Xenopus tropicalis: one gene and its partners. The protein of the gene in region 6 interacts with the protein of the main gene of each other region in a pairwise test. Links are inferred from orthologs where the notes say so. Each region holds a gene or a part of one and is shown on either strand. Other genes may lie near its edges. The genes, in order: sfrp1, zfyve9, tprn, aatk, ppp1r18, ppp1cc and ppp1r3c.1.

The links.
Region 1: the proteins of ppp1cc (region 6) and sfrp1 interact in a two-hybrid assay, tested with the Homo sapiens proteins (2 studies listed by BioGRID). The link is inferred for Xenopus tropicalis from reciprocal best matches to the Homo sapiens genes PPP1CC and SFRP1.
Region 2: the proteins of ppp1cc (region 6) and zfyve9 interact in binary tests that used the Homo sapiens proteins (3 or more experiments, as listed by UniProt). The link is inferred for Xenopus tropicalis from reciprocal best matches to the Homo sapiens genes PPP1CC and ZFYVE9.
Region 3: the proteins of ppp1cc (region 6) and tprn interact in binary tests that used the Homo sapiens proteins (3 or more experiments, as listed by UniProt). The link is inferred for Xenopus tropicalis from reciprocal best matches to the Homo sapiens genes PPP1CC and TPRN.
Region 4: the proteins of ppp1cc (region 6) and aatk interact in binary tests that used the Homo sapiens proteins (3 or more experiments, as listed by UniProt). The link is inferred for Xenopus tropicalis from reciprocal best matches to the Homo sapiens genes PPP1CC and AATK.
Region 5: the proteins of ppp1cc (region 6) and ppp1r18 interact in a two-hybrid assay, tested with the Homo sapiens proteins (2 studies listed by BioGRID and IntAct). The link is inferred for Xenopus tropicalis from reciprocal best matches to the Homo sapiens genes PPP1CC and PPP1R18.
Region 7: the proteins of ppp1cc (region 6) and ppp1r3c.1 interact in binary tests that used the Homo sapiens proteins (3 or more experiments, as listed by UniProt). The link is inferred for Xenopus tropicalis from reciprocal best matches to the Homo sapiens genes PPP1CC and PPP1R3C.

Annotation. Positions count from the first base shown.
Region 1 is NC_030679.2:126,995,824-126,998,337, reverse strand, and holds the end of sfrp1 (secreted frizzled-related protein 1 precursor), read left to right. Parts: intron 1-1,275; coding exon 1,276-1,598; 3' UTR 1,599-2,014; downstream 2,015-2,514. UniProt on the Homo sapiens protein: Soluble frizzled-related proteins (sFRPS) function as modulators of Wnt signaling through direct interaction with Wnts. They have a role in regulating cell growth and differentiation in specific cell types. SFRP1 decreases intracellular beta-catenin levels.
Region 2 is NC_030680.2:96,601,196-96,604,695, forward strand, and holds part of zfyve9 (zinc finger FYVE domain-containing protein 9), read left to right. Parts: intron 1-616; coding exon 617-772; intron 773-2,240; coding exon 2,241-2,465; intron 2,466-3,483; coding exon 3,484-3,500. UniProt on the Homo sapiens protein: Early endosomal protein that functions to recruit SMAD2/SMAD3 to intracellular membranes and to the TGF-beta receptor.
Region 3 is NC_030684.2:1,727,052-1,731,292, forward strand, and holds the start of tprn (taperin), read left to right. Parts: upstream 1-1,441; 5' UTR 1,442-1,631; coding exon 1,632-4,241. UniProt on the Homo sapiens protein: Essential for hearing. Required for maintenance of stereocilia on both inner and outer hair cells. Necessary for the integrity of the stereociliary rootlet.
Region 4 is NC_030686.2:26,607,591-26,611,653, forward strand, and holds the start of aatk (serine/threonine-protein kinase LMTK1), read left to right. Parts: upstream 1-1,263; 5' UTR 1,264-1,396; intron 1,397-1,537; 5' UTR 1,538-1,572; coding exon 1,573-1,648; intron 1,649-1,721; exon of another isoform or gene 1,722-2,080; intron 2,081-4,063. UniProt on the Homo sapiens protein: May be involved in neuronal differentiation.
Region 5 is NC_030684.2:75,522,123-75,526,061, reverse strand, and holds the start of ppp1r18 (phostensin), read left to right. Parts: upstream 1-1,139; 5' UTR 1,140-2,831; intron 2,832-2,873; exon of another isoform or gene 2,874-2,995; intron 2,996-3,517; exon of another isoform or gene 3,518-3,566; intron 3,567-3,939.
Region 6 is NC_030677.2:162,953,133-162,957,199, reverse strand, and holds the start of ppp1cc (serine/threonine-protein phosphatase PP1-gamma catalytic subunit), read left to right. Parts: upstream 1-1,267; 5' UTR 1,268-1,445; coding exon 1,446-1,500; intron 1,501-4,067. UniProt on the Homo sapiens protein: Protein phosphatase that associates with over 200 regulatory proteins to form highly specific holoenzymes which dephosphorylate hundreds of biological targets.
Region 7 is NC_030683.2:37,168,156-37,172,334, reverse strand, and holds the start of ppp1r3c.1 (protein phosphatase 1 regulatory subunit 3C), read left to right. Parts: upstream 1-1,379; 5' UTR 1,380-1,388; coding exon 1,389-2,330; 3' UTR 2,331-4,179.

The DNA of each region.
Region 1 (2,514 bases), on a different chromosome or scaffold from region 6:
CCATGTCGGCAGCTTATTGCTGGTTTTCCTTGAGATGAGTATATGGCTCATTTTGTGTAACATTTCTGCCCCATTCCAAGCATTTTGCCTAAGCGTGGGGGTACTGTACCAGTTTGATGGATGGTTGTTCAATCTAGTTGAATAAACTGGCTGACCAAAAGGCCATTTTTAGGGACAGAAAAGTAATTCTACAGTACTGTATAACTGCATGTTGTTTGCAACAAATAGTCAAAGGATCACAAAATAGACCTTTTACAGCAGGACTTGCAGCCAAGGGAGCCACAAGACAGTGAAAGCGTAAGAGTTTTATTGTATTGGCTACACCATTCAAGGGGGCTGGGTGCTTCTGTACCCAATTCAGGGACAACAAATGGGTAAAATGGGGAAAAGGATCCCCATTGATAAAACAAAAGTAAATGCTCTGTATATGCTGTATATGGATATTTGGAAATGACCTGCAGTCCATTAAAGAGCAATGACCAAATATTGAAGCCCTCTGTGTTTGAATAATGAACATTACATAATTACAGAGCAAACACTACACCAAATCAGTGCTCTTGCCACTGTTTTCCCAGTATTTGCCCTTGGCCAGAGTGCTCTGAATTCAAGTTGGTTGGTTTATACAATAGGCTTTATATCCAAAGTGATAGTTGGAAAACAGCCAAGGTCTGCTGGAAGATGCTGGGATCTGTAGTTAAAGAAGTGGGGAGTGGGGAGCGGTTTATCCCAAGTAAATTTTGTCTACAAAAATGCATTCTGTATACAAAAAAACAAACCGTATTATAGAATGAACATGTGGCCATATACATTGGTAAAAGATATACAAAAGACATATTTCTAATGAAGAATGAGACCAAAATCAATTTTGCACACAAAAGAATATATTTATATTACAAACTCCATTCTATATAGGTTAAGAAGGATTCTGTCACAAGCTTCTATTTTTTCATGGAAATCTAGCTGGAATATGCTATTTATTTATACCATTATATATTTTGTTCAAGTTTTTATTTACATAATTCATAATAAAGTAGCTTTACACATAACTGCTGACAGAATGCACACATTCATTCTATGTACTGGGGATTGTGTCTGTATACAAAATGTATTTTTGTAGACAAAATGTGTTTGGGACTAATAGCACCCCATAAGAACCAGACCTTATCATTAAGGATTGTGGGAGTATTAATTCACAGCCACTGGGTCATAGAACTCCCATCACTGGGTTGCCATAACTGTTTTCCCAATGTCTAATTATTTGTTTTTATTTGACAGCTCTGAAGGTGTCTATACGGGAAGTGAAAAAGGAAAATGGGGACCGCAAGTTGCTCCTCCGAAAAAAGAAAGCTCTGAAGAAAGGACCAATTCAGAAAAAAGACTGGTCGGACCTAGTCCTCTATCTAAAGAATGGCGCCAACTGTCCTTGTCACCAGCTGGATCAACTGAAGGGACAGTTCCTGGTCTTGGGCCGAAAGGTGAAGTCTCAGCATCTCCTGACTGCAATACACAAATGGGACAAGACCAACCGAGAGTTCAACCGCTTCATGCGCAAGGTCAAAAAGAGCAAGTGCCCCAAACCGCTCACAGCCCCCCATTAAAGACAGTTCTGTGTGCACCACAAACACCCCTCTAATGCTCAGAACTCCACCGAGGGGGTATACAATGAAACATGGCAGTACCCTTCCAAATTCTGTGGAAAGACTGCAAGAGATGTAGAAGTCTGTACAGGGCGTGGAACAGGGCATGGTCATACTTCCGAGGGTGCCATACCCAAGCAATGCAAATACCCCTGCATGATGTTCTCTAAAGGCTCTTCCTTCTCCATCACCAAATCCCTTACAGGCCAATGCCTTGTGAACAGTTGGGTTATTGGGTTATACACGCTGCCTGTATGAATATGTTCTCTTAGCATTGTGTGCAATGTCATTATCAGTATCTAATGTACACCTTAATTCAGTCACTTAGTAAGTCAGATGTTCATCATGTTCTTCAATAAACACTGTGTATTCTCTCATTAGTAATGGCAATGTGATGAACTTTCTTTGGATACTGGGGCAGAATGTATGGAGAAAGCAAATGATCAAAATAGCTTCACAGTAGTTTTTATTTTAGCTACCTTCTGCTTAAAGGGATGGTTCGCCTTCAGGTTAACTTCAGCCGTCTAGAAGGTATTGACTAACTACTCCTAAAGTTGCCTTAAAGGGCTCAATGACTCCCAGCCACCCCTGGGAGACCAACCCAGCCCTCATTATTAGAATCCACAATTGTATATAGTGTTCCATGATCAGCTCTGTATTCGAAAAATGAGCACAGAACCAATCATTTACCTTACGTTCTGTTGTAGCAGAACACGGTATAACTTTAAAGGTGATTATACAGATCCACTCTACACACCCAACCTATAGGTTCAGAATCCTTGGAGTTTACATTTGTATTATCGTTGCAATTTTGCCCTACTAAGCAAGACAGAAAGAAAATGAATTATTTTGAATTAATATAATACCCACCCTATCA
Region 2 (3,500 bases), on a different chromosome or scaffold from region 6:
AAACTTTGATTATGACTTTCTTTCTAATTAATGCAATATGGAATGAGTGCATTAAATTGGACCTAATATTTATGCCCAGTTAATGGCACTAGGGAAGGATAACATACAAACAAAGGTGCTAAAACCGCACCAAGACCATGACTGCTGTACATGCCCAGTTTGTAAGACTATGAGGAAGCTTCCTGCTGATTGACTCAGATGACACATTCCTAAGGGGGGGAGGGAGTTCTTAGCATTCTTGAGGGAGGTGGGAGCAGGAGAGGGGAGAGAGGATAGAGCTGCCTGTCTCTGGCACAGGAAAACAAAGAGACAAAAAATCCCGTTTATTTTGACAGAGAAGTCAGTGCAGCGTTTCTGTGAGTGCTTATGGCTGTATTTACATAGACCTTTCTGATAAAGCTTACTTAGTTTTTAACTTTCCTTCTCCTTTAACGGTCGTCTGCTGTAGCCCATTGACATTTGGAATCTCTTTTTAGCTAGCCCACATCACTCTTGCATATCATAGATATTAATATTGGTGTGTCTTACAATGTTACTGTTTCCATGGTATTATTATATTATATCTGTAAATATATTATATCTGTTGGATGTGTAAAATTATTTTTGTTTTTTGCAGATGTTAACAGGAAATGCTGGTGCTTTACTACAAAGGGAATGCATGCAGTGGGCCAGGCTGAGATTGTAATCCTATTGCAGTGCCTGCCTGATGAGAAGTGCCTGCCGAAGGACCTGTTTAGCCATTTTGTCGAACTGTACCGGGAGGCGCTTGCGGGTATGGAAACCAGAATTCTAAAGTAGCTGACTATTTTGCAGTTGGTGGGAAGAAGGCTGTAGTGAAGTAATATTAAAGTTGTTAGTGTATTGAACATAGATTAAAAAAGGCCAGTAATGCTATTTAACTGTTGGAATTTTGTATTTCACATTTTGATGTATAAATGCAATGGAGATACTTTTTTTTTTAGTTTAGTTATGCCTTCTTTAATAGCCCAGAATTAAAAGGTTTAGGTTCTAGGGATGCACCGAATCCAGGATTCAGTTCTTTATTCGGCCAGGGTTCGGATTCGGCCGAACCACATCCGAATGCATATAATATATATAATGCATATAATTAGCACATGCTAATTAGGATTTGGAAGGGTTAATGTCGCCACATAAACACTAAAGAGTACACGCACTGCAACGTTTAACCCTTACAAATCCTAATTAGCATATGCTAGTTAGGATTCGGTTCGGTATTCGGCCGAACCCAAAAAACTGGATTTGATGCACCCCTATTAAGAACATCTTAAGGGTAGCCAAATGCTGGCATTTACAGGTTGTACAGACATATACAGTTGTACATCTATAGGCGTTGCAAAACACTATTCTTGCGTTTGTTAGGGATAATAGCCAAAGCAATTTGATATGACAAGAAGGGAGGAGGACACAGACAGCAAGGTGCATTACCAATTATCAATTGCTATCTAAGTTTAACACTTGCTATGGTTTTTAAGGCGTAACTAAGCTACACTGTTTACATAGCAAATAATTCACTCTACCATTTAAAATTTTATTAATGAACCAACAAATGTTTTTTTTTACAATATCAGTGTGTAGGCCGCCATCTCAGTGCATCATGTCTGAGTCTGGGCTTTCAGAAGGAGCGAGTGCTACACATTGGTATTGCTTTCAAGTAACCTATTGTTTTCTCCTGCTCCCATGTAACTTGAGGAGTCCCAAGAGGGACTTGGATTTTTTTTTTTTTTTTTTTTACTATTGAGTGCTATTCTGATATCTACCACTTTTAGCAATACAGCTGTCAGGTAGCTGCTATCTTGCTACCTTCCCATTGTTCTGCTTATCGGCTGCTGGGGGAGAAAGGGCGGGGTTGATATCACACCAAGTTGCAGCTCAGCAGTAAAGTGTGACTGCAGTTTATCAGAGCATATGATTGTGGCACCCTGTGAATTGAAGAACATAGCTAGCCCATGTAAAATTTCAAAATGAAACAGGTTTTCCCATTAAAGTATTTCTTTAAGCACAGTTTGCTCTGCACCTCTTTTCTGTCAGCTTCATGTTACTATAAATACAGTGTCACACATTTGTACAAGGAAGTTTTGGAACTCAGTAGGATAGTTTATACAAATGGAGGGCAGAATATTAGAATAATCAGACATCTGTTTTAGGCCTTAGCTCCATGTATTGTTTGAAAATTGACTTTTGGGTTTTTAACAAATACATTTTGTCATTGTAATTCATAGGTAATGTTGTGGGGAATCTGGGCCATTCCTTCCTGAGCCAGAGTTTCCTGGGTAGTAAGGAACATGGTGGATTTCTTTATGTAACGCCGACCTACCAGTCTCTCCAGGACCTGGTTCTTCCTGCAGAGCCGTACTTGTTTGGAATCCTTATTCAAAAGTGGGAGACTCCATGGGCCAAAGTGTTCCCCATACGGCTTATGCTGCGTTTAGGTGCAGAATACAGATGTAAGTAGAATTGTGGATTATTAGTGAAAACAATATATATATATATATATATATATATATATATATATATATATATATATATATATATATATATATATATATATATATATATATATATATATATATATATATATATATATACACATAACTCTACAAAATCTGGTCCATGCTAGGTAATTGTCTATATTTTTAATGCTCATTATGCATCCAGCTTGAATGTTACCTACAGTTGGGTTTCTGATATTGAATGTAGGTAGTATTAAAAGGTAGTGAATATAAAAGAAAAGAAAATGGGTTTATTTTCTTTTTTTTATATTCACTACGTTTTAATACTACCTAAATTCAATATCAGAAACCCAATTGTATCAGAAAAACAAGCTTCTTTTATCAGATATAAAGTCTATTGTCACTATATTTAGACTGTGTACAACAGTAATACTTTTACATATTATTACCGAGGATATTAAAATATGGACGCATGTTAATATCTAAAAAAATAAATACAGAAAGAAAAATTTCAATTGTACCTTGTATTTTTAAGGGCAAAGACACACAAGGCAATAAGTTGCCGCAACTTTTTAAAAAAACAAAATCGGCAATTTGGTCGGCGTTTTAAAGTCGCGTAGACTAATCGCCCTGTGTGTCTTTGCGCTGAAATTTTTCAACTTTGATAGATTTATGTGTCTACTTTAAAATTGTATATTTTTATGTTCTAATTAGTTATTTTAATTTTCAGTATTGATATTCCCTCACTGTCCTCTTTCTTGGCATAACAGCAAGAGAGTTATCCACAGCTTTATAAACCCAAGCAACAATGCCCCAGACCAAATGTTTGGGGCTAGGCTTCATAGGGCTGTGGATCACCTTTCTTCTGGTTGTAAGGATGTCTTGGAGAGTTTACAAATATCTTGATCATTACTTTTTATCTGTAGCTGGTGAAAGAGGCTAAAGTAACATACAGTGTCTGGATAAGCAACACCTATTTCATTGCTTTCACAGTTTTCCTTTTACCTTATAGTGTACCCGTGCCCACTC
Region 3 (4,241 bases), on a different chromosome or scaffold from region 6:
TCCAAGATCTCCATTCAATAAAGTTCCCAAGTTCACGGTGCAAGAAGGACGGTCATAGGAGGGGTAATCAATACTATTGCAGATATTCATTCAAGGGGAAGAAAAGATGATACAGAGGGACGGGGAGAGAAGCAGAGAGATAAAGAGAGACACAGGCGGGCGCTCAAACCTTTCCCCACTGAGGGTCCCTGGAAAGGAAAGAGGAGAGCCCCAGCACCGTGATATAAATAACAGTATCCCACACTCCCCTCCTTCCCACACAGCGGCCAATTCAGACATGTGAAAATTCCTGGCAAGGCAATGTTTGGACTAATAAGACTCACCAGCTGACGTGAACCTTGGAACCCGCCGGCAAAGCTGAAATCTGCTGCTTTGTGTTGTGACTCCATATAATCAGCCGTTCCTCCTTGGTACAATCAGCGCTTCTGCCCCATGGAACGCCAGCTGGCACTCGGGTATCTCTCTGCCGCTGTGGGAATAACAGACTTTGTCAGATAGTGACTACTACTTGGCTCACTACTGCCTATATATATATAGATTAACTCCAAGTGTGTCTGCACTCTAATGCCAAATTCAAAAAATGGGTGCTATTGACCAAAAACTGTGTAAATACTTGCAAAAGAGGGTCAGCACGCTAATATATAAAAATAGTGATCATTTATTTAATTGTATTACCCAACGTTTCCGTCCTTACCCTAGCAACCAGGCAGCGGTGTGAATGAGAGGCTGGAAGCTAGACAGAACAGAGGCCTGAGCAGGGTCAGACCCAGGGGCTACCCCAGGGGCCCCCATACCCTCTCAGGGACCCCGACTGCCAACTTACCCACCCACTACTGTGGCAGTAACAGAGGAGGGTTACCCTGGGGAAAGTATATACAGGTAGTACCACAGGAGGGTTACCCTGGGTAAGTATATACAGATAGTACCACAGGAGGGTTACCCTGGGGTAAGTATATACAGATAGTACCACAGGAGGGTTACCCTGGGGTAAGTATATACAGATAGTACCGCAGGAGGGTTACCCTGGGGTAAATATATACAGATAGTACCACAGGAGGGTTACCCTGGGGTAAGTATATACAGATAGTACCGCAGGAGGGTTACCCTGGGGTAAGTATATACAGGTAGTACCACAGGAGGGTTACCCTGGGGTAAGTATATACAGGCAGTACCGCAGGAGGGTTACTGTGAAGTAAATACGTATACAATTGCTTACACAGCAAAAGATAGACAGTTGCCCCGGCAACATAATTGCGTTGGAAATATTTGCGTTTCGCGCCTCGTTATGAAGTTGGAGATTTGTTGTTGTACCATGTGTTCTGACGTAAAGCCTCTCACTCCGCCCACGGTGGGAGGCGGAGAATGAATTGGGCGGGGCTTAGCTAAGTTTTAATTCAGCGTGCAACAGGTGTAGGGGCGGGGCTGCTACAGAGTGACCGACAGCGGGGGTGGGCGTATGTGTTGTGTTGTCACATGGTATGGAGGGGGCGTGTCAGCTTAGGGAACGAGAAGGATGTGGGCGGGACTAGCTTGACAGGAGCTGTGTCCCTGCACCTGAGCTCATTCAGTGAGAAGCTGCCGGCGCGGCGGGACCAGGGAGCTCAGGTGTCTGTCCCTTATCGCCCGCAGCCATGTCCGTCACCGCCCGCCCCTGGCTCCGGCCCGAACCCCACTCTGTCAGCATGCCGGCTTGGAAGCGAGAGGTTCTGGAGAGGAAGCGGGCCAAGAAACAGGGCGTACCTGCCGCAGCCCCGGTGCCTTGGAGCCGGGACGGGTCGCCCCATCGCAGGCGCTCTGACAGGGGTCGCAGCTCCGGGAGAAAATCCAGCCCTGGGGCCGGCAAGGCAGTGAGGGCCCCCAGTCCTGCAGCAGCAAAGGCAGTGAGGGCCCCCACTTCAGCAGCAAAGGCAGTAAGGGCCCCCACTTCAGCAGCCACAGTCAAGGGAGTGAGGGCCCCCAGTCCTGCAGCCACAGTCAAGGGAGTGAGGGCCCCCAGCCCAGTAAAGTCTGCCAGATCTCCAAGCCCAGCAGCGGTAAAGCCCGGCAGGACCTCCAGCCCCGTAGCCGCCAAGCCGGTAATGGCCCTCGGTTCCGCAAAACCCGCCCCCGTGAAACGGAGAAGCGACGACGGCGAGCGACTGGTCCTGCAGGAGAGCCTGGGGCCCCTCCATGAGAACCCCTTTATCCGACTCGAGCAGGAGCGCAGGCGAAAGCAGCCCAGGGAACCCTCCCCGGCCCCCACCCTGCTGGAAATGTATAGCAACGTGCCGGGCATCCGCACCATCCGGGCCGAGAACATAATCATCATCGAGTCCGACCCTGGGTATTTCAGCGGGACTAAGAAGCAGGAGCCCCACGCCGACCCCGTGGAAGCGCTTCTGGCCAAGAGCGGGAGCAAGGTCACTGCCATCAGGGCTTCCGAGGTGGTCATTTACGAGACCCAAGAGCCCGGGCCCCAGAATGTCGAGAAGGAGAGCAGCGAAGTGCAGGAGGAGGCTGGGAGAGTGAGTAGGTTGCTGGAAAAATTCGGCCATGGCCACGGCAGGCCCCCGAGGTCTAGGAGTTGGGACGATATTCTGGATAGAAGGTCCAGCCCATCCCGAGATGATAGCGATAAGATGCCAGCTTTGCCAAAACAGACAGCCCCACAGAGGCACAGCCAAGCCACGGTTAACAAGGCCCCCAAGCGCTACGGAGAAATCTCCCCTTCATCCAATTCCTTCTCGGAGGAGGAAAGTAAACGCTTCCCACTTAACGACCCCTCGTGGCTACCTTCCAAGCCTGTCCTTACCTCCTCTGCTCTATTGTATAAAAAGCCTTCCAGCCCCACAAGCTCTCCAGTAACGTCACCTGGTTTATCACCTTTTCCACTCTCTTCTCATAACGATACAGACGAGAAAGTTGTGTCACCCAGCGTGGCAACCTTCAGGGAAAGGTTTGAAGCCGGCTCCACTGCAGACAATCTACCCCTACCCAAACCGCTGAATGCCACAAAGAAGTCTGGAAATAACACCTTCATTGTCTACCCAAAGGCTGCCTCCTATACCAAGGCTAAACCTTCAGAGACAGTTGGAGTACAGCCTAGCGATGCCCCGGTGCTTACAAATGGTTATGTCGACCATCCTGATGGGAACCCTAAGCCTAAAGCACAGGTCAGTGTCCAAGATCTCCTATCCAAAACTAAGTATAACCGGACCTCTTCTGCAGAGAGGGCCAGTGAGGAACACAGAAAAGTGCCATCTGCCAGTGTTTCCGCAAATCATATCTCCAAGGTTGACAACTCAAGGAGGCCAAAGTCCGAGGCAGACATTTTTAATAGTAATTCCCCTCTAAAGTCTAGTGCCACTCAATCAGAAACCACTTTAGCTGATCAATTTAAACCCACTTTGGCCAGTGCCACCCCTAACCAACAAAACAAGGTCTCCTCCTCCACCAGCAGTAACAGTTCCTTTGAGATCAGGCCCGCCGTAATAACCGATCCCAGCAGCATCCCAGAAGGGGACATCCAGGCAAAGGCACTAGCAAATATCCGAATGCAGTCTAGAAATTCTTTTGTATTCATCCCAAAGAAAAGCAACCCCCCTGTATCAAAAGAAGACCGCCACGAGGTGCAAAAATCTTCCAAAGAAAAGCCAAAAGTCAATGCACCCACCACTAATGGCCCTAAATTAGATTATAGAGACTTTCCTAGAGACAACGGTATACTGTCAAATGGACTGCCTCCATCTCAGACACTCCAAGAAAACACTGGTAACGATATAGATAGGATTCAACTGGAAGTTAATGGTGGGACCCAAAAAGCATGCAGTGTGCCCTCACTTTCAGACTTTGATTGGCAGAGTGGTCTTTTGCCATCTCATTCTTCCACAGAAGGCCATTCTTTTACCGACAAAGGGGCAGAACTAGAGTATTTAAGTAGTGTACATCAAAACAATAAGGTGGCCCACATTCAGGACAACGTCCACCTTACACCCGATATCCCTATCACAAATATAGACGATATAGTGAATTCAGACGTAACGGATGGGGGCGTTCAGGCCAACATTACCGTCAATGGTAACGATTCCCCATTGCCTTCTTACCGGCCTCACACTCCGCTGTCCTCTTCTGTCCACAACAAATCTGGCAACACCTTCACTGTAGTGCCGAAAAGAAAGCCAATTACAGAACAGGAGCCCTTACCAAGACCCGTGCTAGAGGAAGATGAAGATGTGAGCTCTAAAAGGAAATCTTTGGACGGG
Region 4 (4,063 bases), on a different chromosome or scaffold from region 6:
CAAGCCCACACAATGCTTGAGAAAAAAACAATTTTCTAAGGTGCCAGATATGTGTCAGGACCCATACATGAATCAAATATAGGATTGCCACCTTTTGCGGTGGCTAACTCTGGGCAGGGGGGGGTTGGGGGGCGCGTGACGTCACAGGGCAGGACAGTGATGTCACATGGGTGGGATTATGACATCACAGGGGTGGGGCTATGACCTGGCGATCGGCAATTGGCCGATCACCACCTTAATCTCAAATAGTCCTGCCTGGTTCTCCAAATTGGGGAAACCGGGCAGGCGGTTTTGACCAGGACAGTCCTTCTGAAAACCAGGCTGTCTGCGTCAAAACCAGACAGGTGGCAACCCTAGTCAAACAGCTGCCAACTCAGTATGGAGGGGCTATGTCAGCAGTTTATACTGGCCCATGTAGGTAGGTAGATGGGTAGGATGTATATGAGAAAAAGGTTGAACTTGACACTTGGACAATATTCAATACTTCAGTCCTGAAACTTAACTGAGAAATATATTTTATATGGTAAAAAAAATAAATATACATATATAATAATTATAAATATACATACAAATATATATATGTCTTAATACAGATATATATATATATATATGTCTTAATTACCAAAATTCTGTGAGGCTCTCTCTGTGAGCATAAGGCCTTTGGCACAGCAGTTAGAGGCTTTTTGCCCACAGTGATTTTATCTGCTTCCCTGCTCAATGGAAATCAGTGTCCTACGGTTGGTGTCTGCCAACTATTTCATGTTCAGAACAGTATTTAAGCATACGACCGATATCCAACCATTCGTCGGAAAAAGACTAAAAAATTTGGCATTTTGGGTGAAAGTAGTAAAGTGGTTAAAAAGAGGATATTGCCTTATGTCTATAGGTCCAACATCTGATTTGTCTGATAAATTTTATCAGACAAATCAGATGTTGGACCTATAGCCGTAAGGCAATATCCTCTTTTTAACCACTTTACTACTTTCACGCAAAATAAAATCAATGTTTGCCATGATTGTACCAGATTACACCTTTATACACATAAATATTGACATAACAGCTAAAGCTGAAGCAGACAATAGATGCAGTTGGAGGAAGACACAGTGAGTAAATGCAGAGAGCACAGTTTCCCGCCTGGCAGTGCCTGTGTGTGTCAGGAGCAACACTGGCTGCTACGCTTGTGCCCTGCATTACCGCAGCTCGGCAGCTGAGGGCGCTCTAAGCAGCAGAGGATGGAGGAAAGACGTGTGTGTGTGTAAGGCAGAGAGTAACACAAATCACCCAGCAGCATTGACAGTGCTCACGACTCCCTTTTAGCCTATAACCCTGCATTACACTTCCAGCCATTCTCGGCAGCCGACTAGCGTCTCTCCCCCTGCTCTGCCTGCGGCTCAAGGTATCTGCTCCCTGAGGATCCCCCGGAGAGAGGATGCTGCTGAAGCCGCTGCCACCCACCCACCCTTGCCCCCACCCTTGCCCCCACCCTTGCCCCTTCACTCTCCTGCTGACCCCTTATTTCTGATTTCCCATGTATTAGTGCTCTGATGCTGCTTCTGCACCTGATGCCTGGCAATGGGCGGCCTCCTTGCTCTGATCATGTCCTCCCTGTTCAACCTCAGCTTTGCCTTTAGCTCCCACTTCGACTCTGGTAAGTTATAAGCGGCTTCACCTCTCTCATTCCTTTAGATTTAATGGAATTTGTTTGCCTTTAATCCTTCCCTCCTGAGATCCTAGAGACAAACCCCAGACTCCCCTCCCCCTCTTTCTGCATATCCCTCCCCTCTGCGGATTGATTGGGGAGGCAGGGGAGCAGAGGTCTGGATGGAGAGCCCTGGTACCTGCTGCCTCTGTGCTACCCTACTGCTGCTGGCCCATTCTGGCTACTGAGCCCCCTGTCCTTGTAGCCCAATGCTGGATCCAAACCAGGGGAGGGTACCGTGTGGCTTGGGGATTGTGAAGGCTGCTGCAGAATGACATGTGCTGGGGATTAAACACTGTGTCTGTGGCTGCTGCAGGATCAGACAGATCATTTATCTCACACTGGACTGTAGGATGGACTGAAGCATCTTAGGATATTCAGGTAACATGCACTCACCCCACTTTTAACATGTGCGTCATGCACGCTTCCCTTTGGTGTGGCCCCTCTTGCAGCCCTCCCACAATCACATATTTATGGACCTTGTTGGTAAACAGAAAACTGTAGATTTCTTGCTGCTGGCTTTGAAGGTTATATTCACACTAACTAGCATATAACGGGCACATCCTATAATTATATATATATAATGTAGTCAATATGTAGTCTCTATCATTCCAATCTCTCTTATGTAAGAACAGCAGCATCAACAAATGCACAGCTTTATATAGTATGGTTACGTTATCATGCACGTGTCCATTATTTTTCAAACTGATGTGATCATGTATAATTTGTGTATACAGAGTAATATATATATGTATATACCAAATGTAAGGCAATCTGTTGCAGTGTATGCTGTTATAGAGGCCAGGACTTGTAGGGGCTTAATGGTCGGCTTTTCATGGAGCAGATATTGAAAATAAAAAGATTTTTGGTACTTAATAGGTGACAAACAGGAGACAAATGTTATTTATGGCAGTAATGTAATGCTTTCTTTGTGTATGTTGATCAGCCAGTTGTAATCTCTTAATGTATGTAAAGTATTCAGGGTTTTTTGCATTTGGCCTATAAAACGATGGCTAATTCTGACCTGGTTGGATATAAATACCCTAGAAATGATAAATATGTTGCATTTTTGCAGTCTGAAGAAAGGTGCAATAAAGGGGTAGTTAACCTAAAATGTAACTTTTCAAATGAAAACTACATTTGTAAACTTCTTACATTTTTGTTGTGTAACCATTGGGCTTGAAGTTTTAAGAGTTATTAGTCGGTAGAGAGCCCGATAAGATAATTAAACAATAAAAACAAGAATATCTTAACTGCCATTCTGTTTTGGTGTCAGTGACCCTAGGCAACCTGAAGCCACAAAGAGGCAAATAATTAAAAAAAAAAAAAACATACAATATAAAAAATGAAGTCTTTCTATAACATACTAAAAGTTTATTCAAACCCAAACTTCCCCTTTAATGCCATATTAATCAAAAAGATTTATAGTACAGTGTTTGCTTTTTAATAATATGATGGTGGCCTGTTTTATCTGACAGTTCTATAAGAAAATAGTTCAGAGTTGATTGAGTGTAACTTGTCTCCTCACATACTGTTTGGTCAAAGTGATGTAGAAAAGCATGTGGGCCTGGTTAGTAATGACAGTGCAGTTTAGGGCTCATACACACTGGTGCATAGGTTTTTACTGCTTTTTGACCACATTGTAAATGTATTAAAAAACTGCACGTGTTGGCAAGATTCTTCACTATAGTATGGCTAAAGGGGTGATTCACCTTGGAATTAGCTTAGTATGGAAGACACAGTATTATGATACAATTGCCATTAGCCTTTATTTTGTTATTTTTATGCTTTTGCTATGTTTTACATTTTTTAAAAATCAGTTTTGAAATCACTTTTTACATTATAAGCCTCTCACAGAATGTATAAAGCAGGCATCCTCAAACTACGGCCCGCCAAGGTAATTTACCCGGCCCCCATTATGATCTGACACAAGGACGCAGTGGGGAGCCGGAGGACGCAGTGGGGAGCCAGAGGAAGCAGCGGGGAGTGGGAGGACGCAGGGGGGAGCGGGAGAACGGAAGTTGCAGGGGTGAGCCGGAGGATGCAGGGGGAGCCAGAGAAAGCAGGGGGAGCTGGAGGAGGGAGGATGCAGGAGACAGTCAGAGGAAGCAGGGGGGAGTCAGAAGATGCAGGGGGGAGCCTGAGGAGGGAGTGGGAGGACGCAGGGGGGGGCCAGAGGAAGAAGGGGGGAGCTGGAGGAGGGAGGATGCAGGGGACAGCCAGAGGAAGCAGGGGGGAGGCAGAGGATGCAGGGTGAGCCAGAGAAGGGAGCGGGAATATGCAGGGGAGAGCCAGAGGAAGCAGGGGGGAGCCAGAGGAAGCAGGGGGGAGCTGGAGGCAGAGGATGCAGGGGGAGCCAGAGAA
Region 5 (3,939 bases), on a different chromosome or scaffold from region 6:
TATGGTGTACTTTTTATTTCTAAATTACACTGTTTACATAGCGCATAATCCACTCTTACCAGTTAAAATTTTATTCTTGAACCAACAAATGTTTTGGGGTTTTTTTTTATTGTAATATTGATGTGTAGGCAGCCATCTCAGTGCATTGTGCCGGAGTCTGAGCTTTTAGAAGGAGCCAGTGCTACACATTAGAACTGCTTTCAGGTAACCTATTGTTTCTTTTACTCCCATGTAACTGGAGGAGTCTCAAGCTGGACTTGGATTTCTTACTATTGAGTGTTATTCTGATATCTACTGGGAGCTGCTATCTTGCTACCTTCCCATTGTTCTGATGATCAGCTGCTGGGAGTGGGATGATATCACTCCAAGTTGCAGCTCAGCTGTAAAGTGTGACCGAAGTTTATCAGTGCACAGGTCACATGGCTGTAGCACCCTGGGAAATTAAGAATATGGCTAGCCCCATGTGAAATTTTAAAATTAAATATAAAAAAAAAAATCCTGTATTTTTAAAAAATGGATTACAATGCAGGATTCAGCTGGAGAAGTTTCATTAACATGCATTTTGAAAAAAAAAAACATGGTTCCTCATGACAGCATTTCTTTAAACTACAAATTTGGCTTAATTCTAGTATAGAGTGCGGTTGTGCCAGTTGGACAGCACTGATGTACACAATGCCTATTGATCTGGTTAAGGGAAGAGTACTGCAGCTAATAGCAATGACCATAGCTTTATCTATATCTATACACAGGAATGTTAACTGGCTCCTTTATAAAACTGATCATAGTGTGTGTGAATGTGATAGGGACCCTAGATTGTAAGCTTCAAAAGGGGCAGGGCCTGATGCAAAAGTATATAATATAGTATGTAATCTCTGTAAAGTACAAGTATGGGACCTGTTATACAGAATGCTCGTAGTTTTCCAGATAAGAGATCTTTCCACAATTTAGATTTCCATACCTTAAATCGACTAAAAAAGGTACTTGTATTGATTGTATTGTGTCCAATAAGAATTAATTATATCTTAGTTGGGATGAAGTACAAGGTACTGTTTTATTACTACAGAGAAAAAGGAAATCATTTAAAAAAAAAATAGAATTATTTTCTTATAATGGAGTCTATGGGTGGTGGGCTTCCTGTATTTCAGAACTTTCAAAATAAAAAGATTTCCAAATATCGCATTCCATAAATGTACTGCAAAATAGGTCAGCGCTATATAACTACAGGATAAAAATACTTGGAGTAAGAAGTATGTTCAGATTGTGATGGATTATATTTTCCCTAAATAGGATTGCTAAAAACCTTGTAGCATGGCGCACAAGCCCAAATGCATTATGCTGAATGATCAGGTTATACACAAAATAAATGCCAATGGCTAAGGCTATGATCACATGTAGCTGTTTTTTGGGCTGCATACTGGGTCAGACTGGGTTGTGCAGGGCCCATTAGTTTGCCGCCCCAGGGGCCTCAGCAGTGGCCTCCACACCCCCTCCAGGGGCACCACAGACCAACTCCATCCCTCCCAAGTGTGCTTACATTATACCTCAACACGATCAGGGAAAGGAGATCATGTCTGGGTCGTGGAAGCCCACAGAGTTAGTCCAACTCTGGCTGCATATAAATGCAGATGCAAGTAGCAGCTCAACCACTCAAATCAGCCTGGTCTGGTATCTGTGCTAATAAGCACTGCTTCAGCCTGTGTACAGTCACAGAGCAGATTTCAGTGTGAAAATGCATATTGACACTTTTCTGTGCTGAAATTCACTTTGTGTGCAGGTGAGTGGTTCATCTGTTTCTTGGCCTGCATTTATACACAGACCAAAAACCAGCTTTGTGTAACTGTTGCCTATGGTTCAGTTTCTTATACTTTGTGTGGCTTTCTAGTGTTCAGTCTGTAAATTCACCCTAACCACGCATAACTGAAGCACTCTGCATTAAGTTTTACATATGTATTGTATTGTGTTGTGTCCGTCCATATAAATAGTATAAAATATAATACATGAGGTAGCTCTTATTTCATGCACAATTTGCCTTAGTAGTATGTTATTAAACTCAAAACAAACATCCAAAAAGCTAAAACTTCTTACTGTTTAGGATATTTATGTTAAAGCATAAATAATCTGTCATGTGCTGTTGCTTAGTATTTTTTTCCATTAGTCCCATCCTGTCCCCCACTGTTGTGTGTACGTTGTACTGATTTAGTATCTTGAGTATAAAAAATACAGAATGTCTGTGTGTGTCTTGTAGTGGATATTTAAGAGCAGTCTTTGCTTTTTTTCACAATAGGGCATTAAAATGATTTTTTAAAAACTAAAAATCCCAGCATTTTCTTAAAACAAAGCCCATTTGCCTTACCGATGTCAATAGAAAAAAGTACAGTGCTATGTAAGGGTTAACTTGTCTGTAGTATCTCCCCCCACCATCCTTCCTCTCTCCACCCTCCCCCTTTACTCTTAGCATTATGCATAGCTGGAACCTCACCCTCCACCCCCCTCTCTCCTTCTGTCTGATTCAATCCCTTCTTCCTACACACCCTTCTCTTTCACTCTCTGGGAATTCCTCTCCAATGCAAAGGTTGCCCAAGCTATAAGTCCCTAGTCTTTACATTGTACATCTGTATTTGCTTTAAGGGTCTGAAGGAATTGGGCTCACTTGAAGACGTGTGACGCTTTGGGACTTTCCACAGAGAAACGCTACATATTCTTATGTTTTTGGGTTTAAGTTTAACAAAGGAAACTGCTCCAGACATCAGTTCACTTCTCCTAACATCAAGGCATCCTGCTGGGCTATAGGATGTATTAGAGGGGATTGTGCCTGCTTACTCACAATAAAGGTATGTAACATATCTGACTATATCCTGTGGGTTTCTGCATGTCATTTCATATGTGCATACAAGTACAATGAGATCACTTTTGCGCACTCTCACTTCATATCTTCCACCAACTTGTCCTCTATTCTATTTCTTTGGTGCCACTATAAAGTGTGATTCCCACTCTAGTAAGTATTTTTTGAGAGAAGAACATACTCTGATTTACCTTTTGTTTAAATCCTCACCAATCGCTACAACACAGGTTATGCAGTATATTTTCATACTTTAGTGTTATTTGTGCGATAATATACAGTCTCCTACATACATACATAGACAAACAAATATATAGACTTAACATCCTTCTCACTGTTTAAATCTATTTTACTCGGTGCATAGAAAGTACTGCTGTGTATGCAGCTGCCTATTTTTTTGCTTTTGTCTTTACCTTCCATGAATCTCCTAAACCTTAGCGATGTACATCTCCTCCGTTTTCTGTAGAACTGTCAGTGCATCTCCCTCTTTCCTGTTTGCCCACTCATCTCTTGCAGGCATGTCTGAATTATTTGTATCTAGTTCTCCTATTTTGCTTTTTCTCCCTTTTCAGAATGTATGTTTTACATTTCTTTGTCTGGTTCAGCAGTATGGCTATCTGTCAGTCTAGACAATTCCATCCTCCTCATTTTAATTTGGTTGCTCCAATTGTTCCACAGATCTGTATCTGAAGAGTTTCCCAACTTGAAGACCAGACAATTATAATCTGTAAGATTTTGTTTGTACCATGAGAAAAACAGATGTATAAAGGTTGATACTAAACAGTTTTAAATTTTAATTCAAAATTGTAATGCCTTATACTGAAAATACTTTCAGAACCTTAGTTACATTATCTAGACCCTTATTTTGTATAAAACATTGCAGAATTGTTTTGTCCATACATTTAATTAAGCCCTCTAACAGTGTATTTCAGCCTTTTCTTACCCCCATGCTTATTTCTCTTTTTATTCTGCGTATCCTCTTTCTCTTCCTCTTTCTCTTCCTCTCTAATGAACTCTACACATGCTTCTTTATATGTCATTTGACTTTTTAAGTGTAACTTTCTTTTTTAGCTGTATGAAATTATTTTCCTGTCATTACT
Region 6 (4,067 bases):
AACTGCTGGGAGCTTTGTATTCATTCTAATAAAAATCTTAAAGAAACAATCCCCTTTTGTGACAATACTATGAAATAAAAAAAAGTAAAGGGGTCAGTTAGAAAGGCCCTTGGCACAGATGCAAGAGCACTAAAGGGCACAAGGGCTTATCTACCGAGCACTTGTGTCCAAAGTTGTGCTGTTTTTTGCAGGGAGCACCAGATCAAACATTTAGAATGGTGTTAGGCTGTTGGCAGCCTAGTCCTAACTTTCTACAACATATTTATTTCAATACTGGTGTAGAGATTTCAATTAACACTAAGTTGGTAGGGTAATAATTATTCACCCTGGACTAGTTGAGACACTGGTCTCCTGATCTTCAGGTGTCTGGGTTTCCACTGGCCAAGAAATTGCCAAACCTCCTGGCTGGCCCTGGCCCTGGCCAATGTACAGAAGCATTGATACCTGCACGTTTCTTCTTGCGTTACTAAGCCAGAAAGCATGAAGTCAGGGAGTACAATTATTTGGGGCAAAGGCTTCTGCAACTACTGAGAAAAAACAGCAATTAATGTATTAAATGTGACAGCTTAGGCAGCAGCACTGCCATCAGATGGGACAGAGGGAAATTTGGTCAGGGGCCTGATAGCAAGGGCTTCTCACAAGAGCTGATCTGAGACTTTTGGGCTAGTGGGTGAAGTCTGGGCTGATTGTGGACAACTTGGCAAAAATGGGAGTGAATTCGGGTTTTTTTGGAGCTCCATTGTACTTTTTTGCAGGATCCACTGCTCAGGTGTCAAGGAGTAGCCCCATAATTACTGATGGCAACCCTGTTAGGAGGCTACCAAAAGGTATTTCTGTGTATTAGTTGAAAACAATAAATTTAGCTGACGTGAAGTAGCCATATCTATTTTTATTTTACGTGTATCGTTTTTTCAAAATTACTAAGTATTTCACTTTGTTTTGGAAATTACACCTCATTCAAATATCATTTACAAAACCTAGAAACCCACAGAATGATCAAAGACAATGTCACTGGATCTTTTTTAAAACAAAAACAACCCTCACACGTGTAATGCATTCCTAAAACCGATAACGGTTACCATTTTTTATATACGCAGTACTAACTTTTGGCACTAGAGAAAAAATAGTCCTAGCTCGCAAATACGGCCAAATTTCAGAAACGGCTGGCGCAATGAAACACAGCGTGGGTTGAGATTTGACTGTACGTGCTATCGCCTGGGTCTTTAAAATGTACCAGGTCGTGCATAGATATTCATGCGCGGGCCGGCAGGGGAGGAGGTGGCGCCATTTTGTCAGGTTCTTGGGAGTCTGTAGCGGAAGACGAGCGAGGGGGATTGAAAAGCCGCTGCGGCGCCAAGACTGCCCCCTGCCCGGTTTCCAGTACGTTTGGGCTTCTGTTTTTATTGCGACAGTTTACTGGGTCCGCCATTTAGACTTTCGGAGCAATGGCAGATGTTGACAAGCTTAACATCGACAGCATCATACAGCGACTGTTAGAAGGTGAGGATGGTACTCGGGAAGGCCTGGCCGGGTTTCCTTACACTCTGTCACTTTACTTTCATGTGGTGGCAGGGTTGAAAGGGTTGCCATTAGCTATGTATGTGAGTGAGCAATGATGTATACACGGTGTTATTATTGGGGCAGCGGGGTTTGTAGCATCCTGGCTGGGCTCCTTGTGCTGAGATTGATATGGCAGTTGGAGCGGCTGTCAGCCTGCAGTTGCGTTACGGAGCCGTTACCGGAACAGGACTTTATTCTATACTCCGGTACATACAGGGTGCCGCTCTGATTGCTCATAGTATATATCTAGTTAATCAGGCTGTTGTACGAGTTATTGGCCGGACTGGCCCAATATACATTGTATAGAGGCGATCCGCTGGCTCCTAGCCGCTGCATGTGTATTCCATGTGCAGAATCCGGATTCACCCAGTATATCCGATCCTTAACACTGCGCAGCGCTCCATACACCTGGGAATCGCAGCGATCCGTATAGGGACCAAGGTGCTTCAGACTTTAGATTGAACTATGATTATTGCTCACTCCATAGGGGGCATGTTGTGCATTAGCTGATTATTTCCATTTGCCTTAGTTGACCTTCATAACTGTGTATATTGCCAATAGGTGGGGGTTATCCTGACCCTGTGCCACAGCTGTGCTGCTCTCACTCGCAGCTTTACTGATGCACTATATGGGGGAGTTGGAAGAATAGATTGTGTCATTTTGTGTAGTTTGCCTTTAGTTATGGGCAATGGGTGAGCAGCAATGACTGGATCTATTTTCATTTGTTGTTCTCATTAGTAAATTAATGCTGATGTGGTGTGACTTTAATGAGGAAATGTAAGCTACTAGCTCTGTGTAGAGGTGCCATTACATTTTCTTTTTTTTTTCTCTAACACTTTTTGCTCCTCGGTTCTCTATTTGGCAACTTAGGCTGCAATTCCCTTGTGGGGTTACAGGTCCTTGCAACCAGTTACTTGTTTAAAGGGCAACTGTGATAGGAAAATTGTTTACGGCTAATAGACCCTGCAACTCGGGTGGAAGAAAGCAATACTATTAGTGGGCATCTATTTATGGTATATAGTCTATATACATATATTTATGTATATGTAATGAGTTAACTGACTTACTCATTGTGAACATTCCTGTTGTGATGCACGCATTCGCATGAATGTGCCAGCTTATGTTTAGGCTCCAAATATGGCTGCCCACTTTACACTACCTCCTGGTGTGGACAGCATAGCCCTATTACATACAAAGCCAAAGTGTTTTTTGGGGCAAAATGTATAGTTTGCCCCAACCAGAATGCAGGCTTAATTAGCCCATATTTTCTGCGGTGAATGCAATTTTCTTGTTTTCTTTCTACTTCAAATTGAAGTACAAATAGTGAGTAAAAAAGGACATAATAAAAGCCTTGCAATGATTCTGAATTCCTAGTTCACTGACTTGCATTCACATGGCATTTTAGACCTTCAACTGTGAATATAAAGTAAATAAAAGTCAAGATTTTAATTGTATAAATCTGCAGCATACTAAATGTTAATGACTAAAATTCTGTAGGCTGATATGCTAATGTATTTGTAAGGGCAAAATATAAGTGGTTGTGTCCAGACAAGACAATGAAACCTTGTTGCTCCTATATTTTACATATATTAAAGGGGCATTATACCCAGTTTTCACCAGTAAAAAAAACATTGGCTGAGCTGGAAAAGAAAAAGGGGGTCAGCAAAAATATTTGCTTGCCCCAACACTCCAGCTGAAACCGAAGTTCTCTTGCTGTAGGCGATCAGATTCTTCAAACAACTGTCGTACCACCTTCTGTAACTATTAGTCTAATATTTAGGCGCAGGCCGAGCAAGGCTGGATTCCACCCAGCAAAAAACACATGGGGAACAATAATACCTCCTTTCTCAACATTTGTTTAATAAATAGGGGCTGAATATACTTATGTCTTTTGTTTTAATTGTGAAAAATCTCATTTTTATTTTGTGAGCTAAACAGGAAAACTGAAGCTATTCCATGTTTGGTCCTTGCGAGGTAGATTTTTAAAAATTGAAATGGGCAAAAAGTGTTCCGTAGAAGACCTATTTATTGATCTATTGTTAAACAAGGGGGGATACTGCACCTTTTAATGGAGACATATTGGATTTTTGAAAGTCACTCTCGTGTTGGTAACAATGAATAATATATGGTGCCTGATTCAGTGCCCTTAAGTGTTTACTCTGAAAATGTCACATTTAGAGAAGCTACCCATAGATCCTCTTGTCTATTACAAATGAGATGTGGGCTTGTCCTGACTTCTCCAATTTAAATATTGTGGAACGACCTAACTTAAACTGTTCATGTGAGGAAACCCACAAACATCCAAAAGCTGAAGCTGTTCTGTATAGAGGAATGGGCTAAAATTCGATGTGCAGGACTGATCAACGTTTGCTACAAACATAAAACATGTTTACATTTACTAATTCACGAACGCTCCGAGCGTATTTTTGGTGACTTTTTCGTACTTTGCGACAAAATTTGTGCGACAAAATCGTATTGTCGCGCTGAGTAAGAACGTTTTGGATACA
Region 7 (4,179 bases), on a different chromosome or scaffold from region 6:
TGTCTTCAGCACTACTGTGAGTAGAGAGGTACCTGATTCATATGTCTATTTTCTGCTAGTTACATTGTATGGGCAAGATACAATGGTCTTATAATGTCATTTAAAAAAAGTGTGTTTATCAGACTTTCTTATGCACTGACTGTACCATGGTTTATAATTAAATATAAAAAGTGTAATAATGCAAAGGGAAATGCCTAATGCATGTATATTTTACGTTTAATAGTGATTGCATACACTGAAGTCCATTTGTATGATTGATGGTAAAGGGATTATGGTTCTTACTGACCCCAATTCTGTATCAGTGGTTTTAAGCTTTATATATACTAGAAATTGCCAGCTTGTCTCCTGCATCTATGCATAAGGTCTTTTCTAGAGCTGCTGGGATTTGTAGTTTAGCATTAACCACACACTTTTTAATGTGGGCAGCTCAGTCTGCTGCAAGCAGAACTATCAGACAAAGTTGCATGGGGGCTTTCTGTGATTTCTGTTCTACTACAGAACCTGCAAAGTGCAGCACAATGGGTAAAACTTAGCCTTTGTAGGGAATGAGCAGAATACAGTGATGTCTGAGATATATGGTCAAGTGCCATCCCTTGATATAGTCGAATTGATGTGTTTAAAGAGTTGAAAGATTTCTGAAATATATACCATTATACTTGAAGGTTCTTCTGTACTGAGTTTGTTGAAGGTTAAAATGATATGTATATAAATTATTTCCATGGACATGTAGGTTCTTTGAGTTCAAGATACACAAATAATTTGCAGGACTGAGAGTCATTTATCCCAGCAAGCATGTCAAAGAATTTATTTATAAGGATTTAAAGTAGACAGTATCTTATTGTAAGCTCTTTTGGGCAGGGCCCTCTTCACCTCTTGTATCGGTTATTGATTGCTTTATATGTTACTCTGTATGTCCAATGTATGTAACCCACTTATTGTACAGCGCTGCGGAATATGTTGGCGCTTTATAAATAAATGTTAATGTAATGTAATGTAATTTCAAGCTTATTTTACAGTAATAAGTCACAGCATTATTTAATGATTGTACATGTTATTAAGTCATGACAGGCTATCAATATTAATAGAAATATTGATACTAATGATGTAGACTTCAATACCATAATATACAACTGACTGTTTTAAAATAAATAACTTTGCATACAATGAGACGTTTTTTATTTTGACAATTAAAGACCATAAGGGGGCACTGCAACGCATCTATTATCTCCTCTAGGCAGATATTCCTTTTTATGTGACGCAGTTCATGGTTTCATTACAGAATAGTTTTAAATGGGTAGCTCAGACAATATATTCTTAAATGTTTGTGAGTATGTGCACATTGTAGACCAAAAACATAATTTTATCTATGGGTTTTATCTCTTTACAGAATGATACAGATTTTGGAACCCCGCTCTCTCCCACGATCCATAATGCCTGTAGATGTGGCAGTTAGGATATGCCTAGCACATTCTCCACCGCTAAAAAAATTTCTCAGTCCCCCTGATTGCAGGGGAAGAAATTTTGTGAACCGATATAAGCCACTAAGACCATGCCTCAGTCTGAAAAAGGAATCTGATTTCAGGAGCAACGAGTGGAACCGCTCAAAGTCTAGAAACAAAAAGAAGGTCATCTTTGCTGATTCCAAAGGACTTTCCTTAACTTCGGTGCATGTCTTCTCAGAGTTTAAGGATGAATCTTCATTAGATCTTCAGTTTGACCTGATAGACCTAGAAGATATAACAGCCAGTTTAAAGCTGCATGAAGAGAAGAACTTGATACTGGGATTCACTCAGCCTTCAGCTGATTATCTGCAGTTTCGCAATCGCCTTCAGAAGAGTTTAGTCTGCCTAGAAAATTGCAGCCTTCAGGAAAGATCTGTTGCAGGTACTGTCAAAGTAAAAAACCTGAGCTACAAGAAATCTGTCAAGATTCGTATCACCTTCAACACCTGGAAATCATTTGTAGATGTTGATTGTGTCTACATGAACAACGTCTATGGAAGCACTGACAGTGACACATTTTCCTTCGTCATTGACATACCCCCCAACATTCCCAGTCATGAGAAAATCGAATTTTGTATATCCTATGAAAGTGAAGGGCAGGTCTTCTGGGACAACAATGATGGACTGAACTACTCAGTGACACGTGCAGAATGGAAATCAGATGGTGTGCACACACCTACCCCAACTAAAACAGAGATTGCATCATATGACTATAAGAAGAAACCACAAAACAATGACTTTGATCAGTTTGGCAGCCCCAGAACATCTGCTGGTCTGTACCCCGAATGGCAAAGTTGGGGTAAAATAGGAGGATCACCTTACTGGTGAAGAACATTGTTGATGTTCTGCTTTATTCATTCTCATCGAGACATCTCGGTGCTGATGAGACATCATTTGCAAACAAACAAATGAAATTCTTCAAATAAAGTAACAGTGTAAGGAAAGCTGATAGCTATATGTTCACAGCCATAGCTTAGGACAGTACGCTTTTCACAAGCACGTTGTCAAAACACCATATGTACTGCCTTTGTCCACCATAGAAATAGAGCGCTCAGTGCTGATGCCAGCTGAATCTCTGGCGTTAGTCATATACACAGAATATACATTTGTGTAAGGCTAATATGATGAGCTATAAACACAGCAGCTTGTAGTAACCCATATGAGGATAGTTCTTACAAAGAGGGCATCGGATAGAATTCAGGACACCCTAAGGATATGACAATGAAGATTTTCATTCATCCAGGTCATGGTATATCTATTATAAGTAAATACTTAGACACCCTAAGGAGTTTTGCAGATATGTGTTTTAGGATGAATTTATGGTACGAAATGGCTAACGATACAACCCCTGAAGGTTGAAAAGCTGAAAATACAAAGAGACTGTCAATGCAATACTTACATAATGATGTTTGAGTTGCTATCATGTATTTCTAGTGACCTGCCAGTAAGCGCGAAACGCACCATACACTTCGGAAAGTAGTGTTAGGTTTCATTTTAAAAGCTGGACTTTTAAAACCTTTCACAGACTCAGTTTAAATAATGTAAGATCATACAAGGTGGCTCAGAGATGTGCAACTGGTATCCTTGTAGCTGTTGTTATACTATAATTTCCACTAAATAATACAACAGCAACCAATGTATCACACTTTGGACATCCCTATCAAAATTTTTATGGATGTGACTAAAGAATGAATAATTTTGCATTGGAGGCAAGAGTACAGAAAGTCTAAATGCACTAACCAATCCAGTGCACTTTTTTTGGTAAGGGAGGGCCCTGCAATGTTGCTTTAAGCTATCCCAACAAATCTGCTTTGATGTTGTAAAAAGTGCCTTTTCTAAAAGATTGCCAAAAACCCCTTTAATACAGAATTGTAGGTTTCCTGAATATAAAATAGTCAGTAGCAATGCTGTGCCATTTAGTAAACTGCAAAACCAAACTGCATAGTTACACTACATCCCTTATATATTGTCAATTTCTGAACTATTTCCCTTCCCACTCTTGATCCCACTTGATGCTAGAGGTGTGTACAACATAGTGCCATGCAATGCATCTGTCCACTCTGGCCCACTGGGCTCTGGCAAACCTAAAACAAAGGATGTATTATATTGGAAGATTACCAGATGTCCAACATTTTAGTGTTATGTGTAAATAAGGAGCAACCTTTCAGGATAATAATACCCTCATTCTCCCTGCCCTGTAAAAAAAAATGCACTTGTTTGTAAGCAATCTGTAATATTCCCTGTCTTCTATGTTTTTTGAGATAATTACAGAAGTCAGAAAATTCAATTTCCTTCATATTGAAGGTAACGCAAATCGCTTTTGCACCTTTATATGTGAATTTGGTATTTGATAGAATTGTAGGTTCCTTAAAGGATGAAATGATTGTAGTCGATATTTTTGCACATCAGATAGTCAAACCTTATTTTCCTTCTGAAGAGTAATGACAGCTTTTTATGAAATACCTTTATGGCGCAGAGAATTATGTTTTATTTTCTCTATTCTTCCTTTTTCTCTCAATAGAAACTCTTGCACTTTTTACATGAAATAGCTGAGCAGTGTATTTTTCTATTTTGTAACTGGCTTAAATGTGTATTTTTTGATGTACAGTACCTTCGTAAGCTGACAATATTGTTTTTTGGTGTCAGAATGAAAAAAATGAGCAGCGTTCTTGACTGT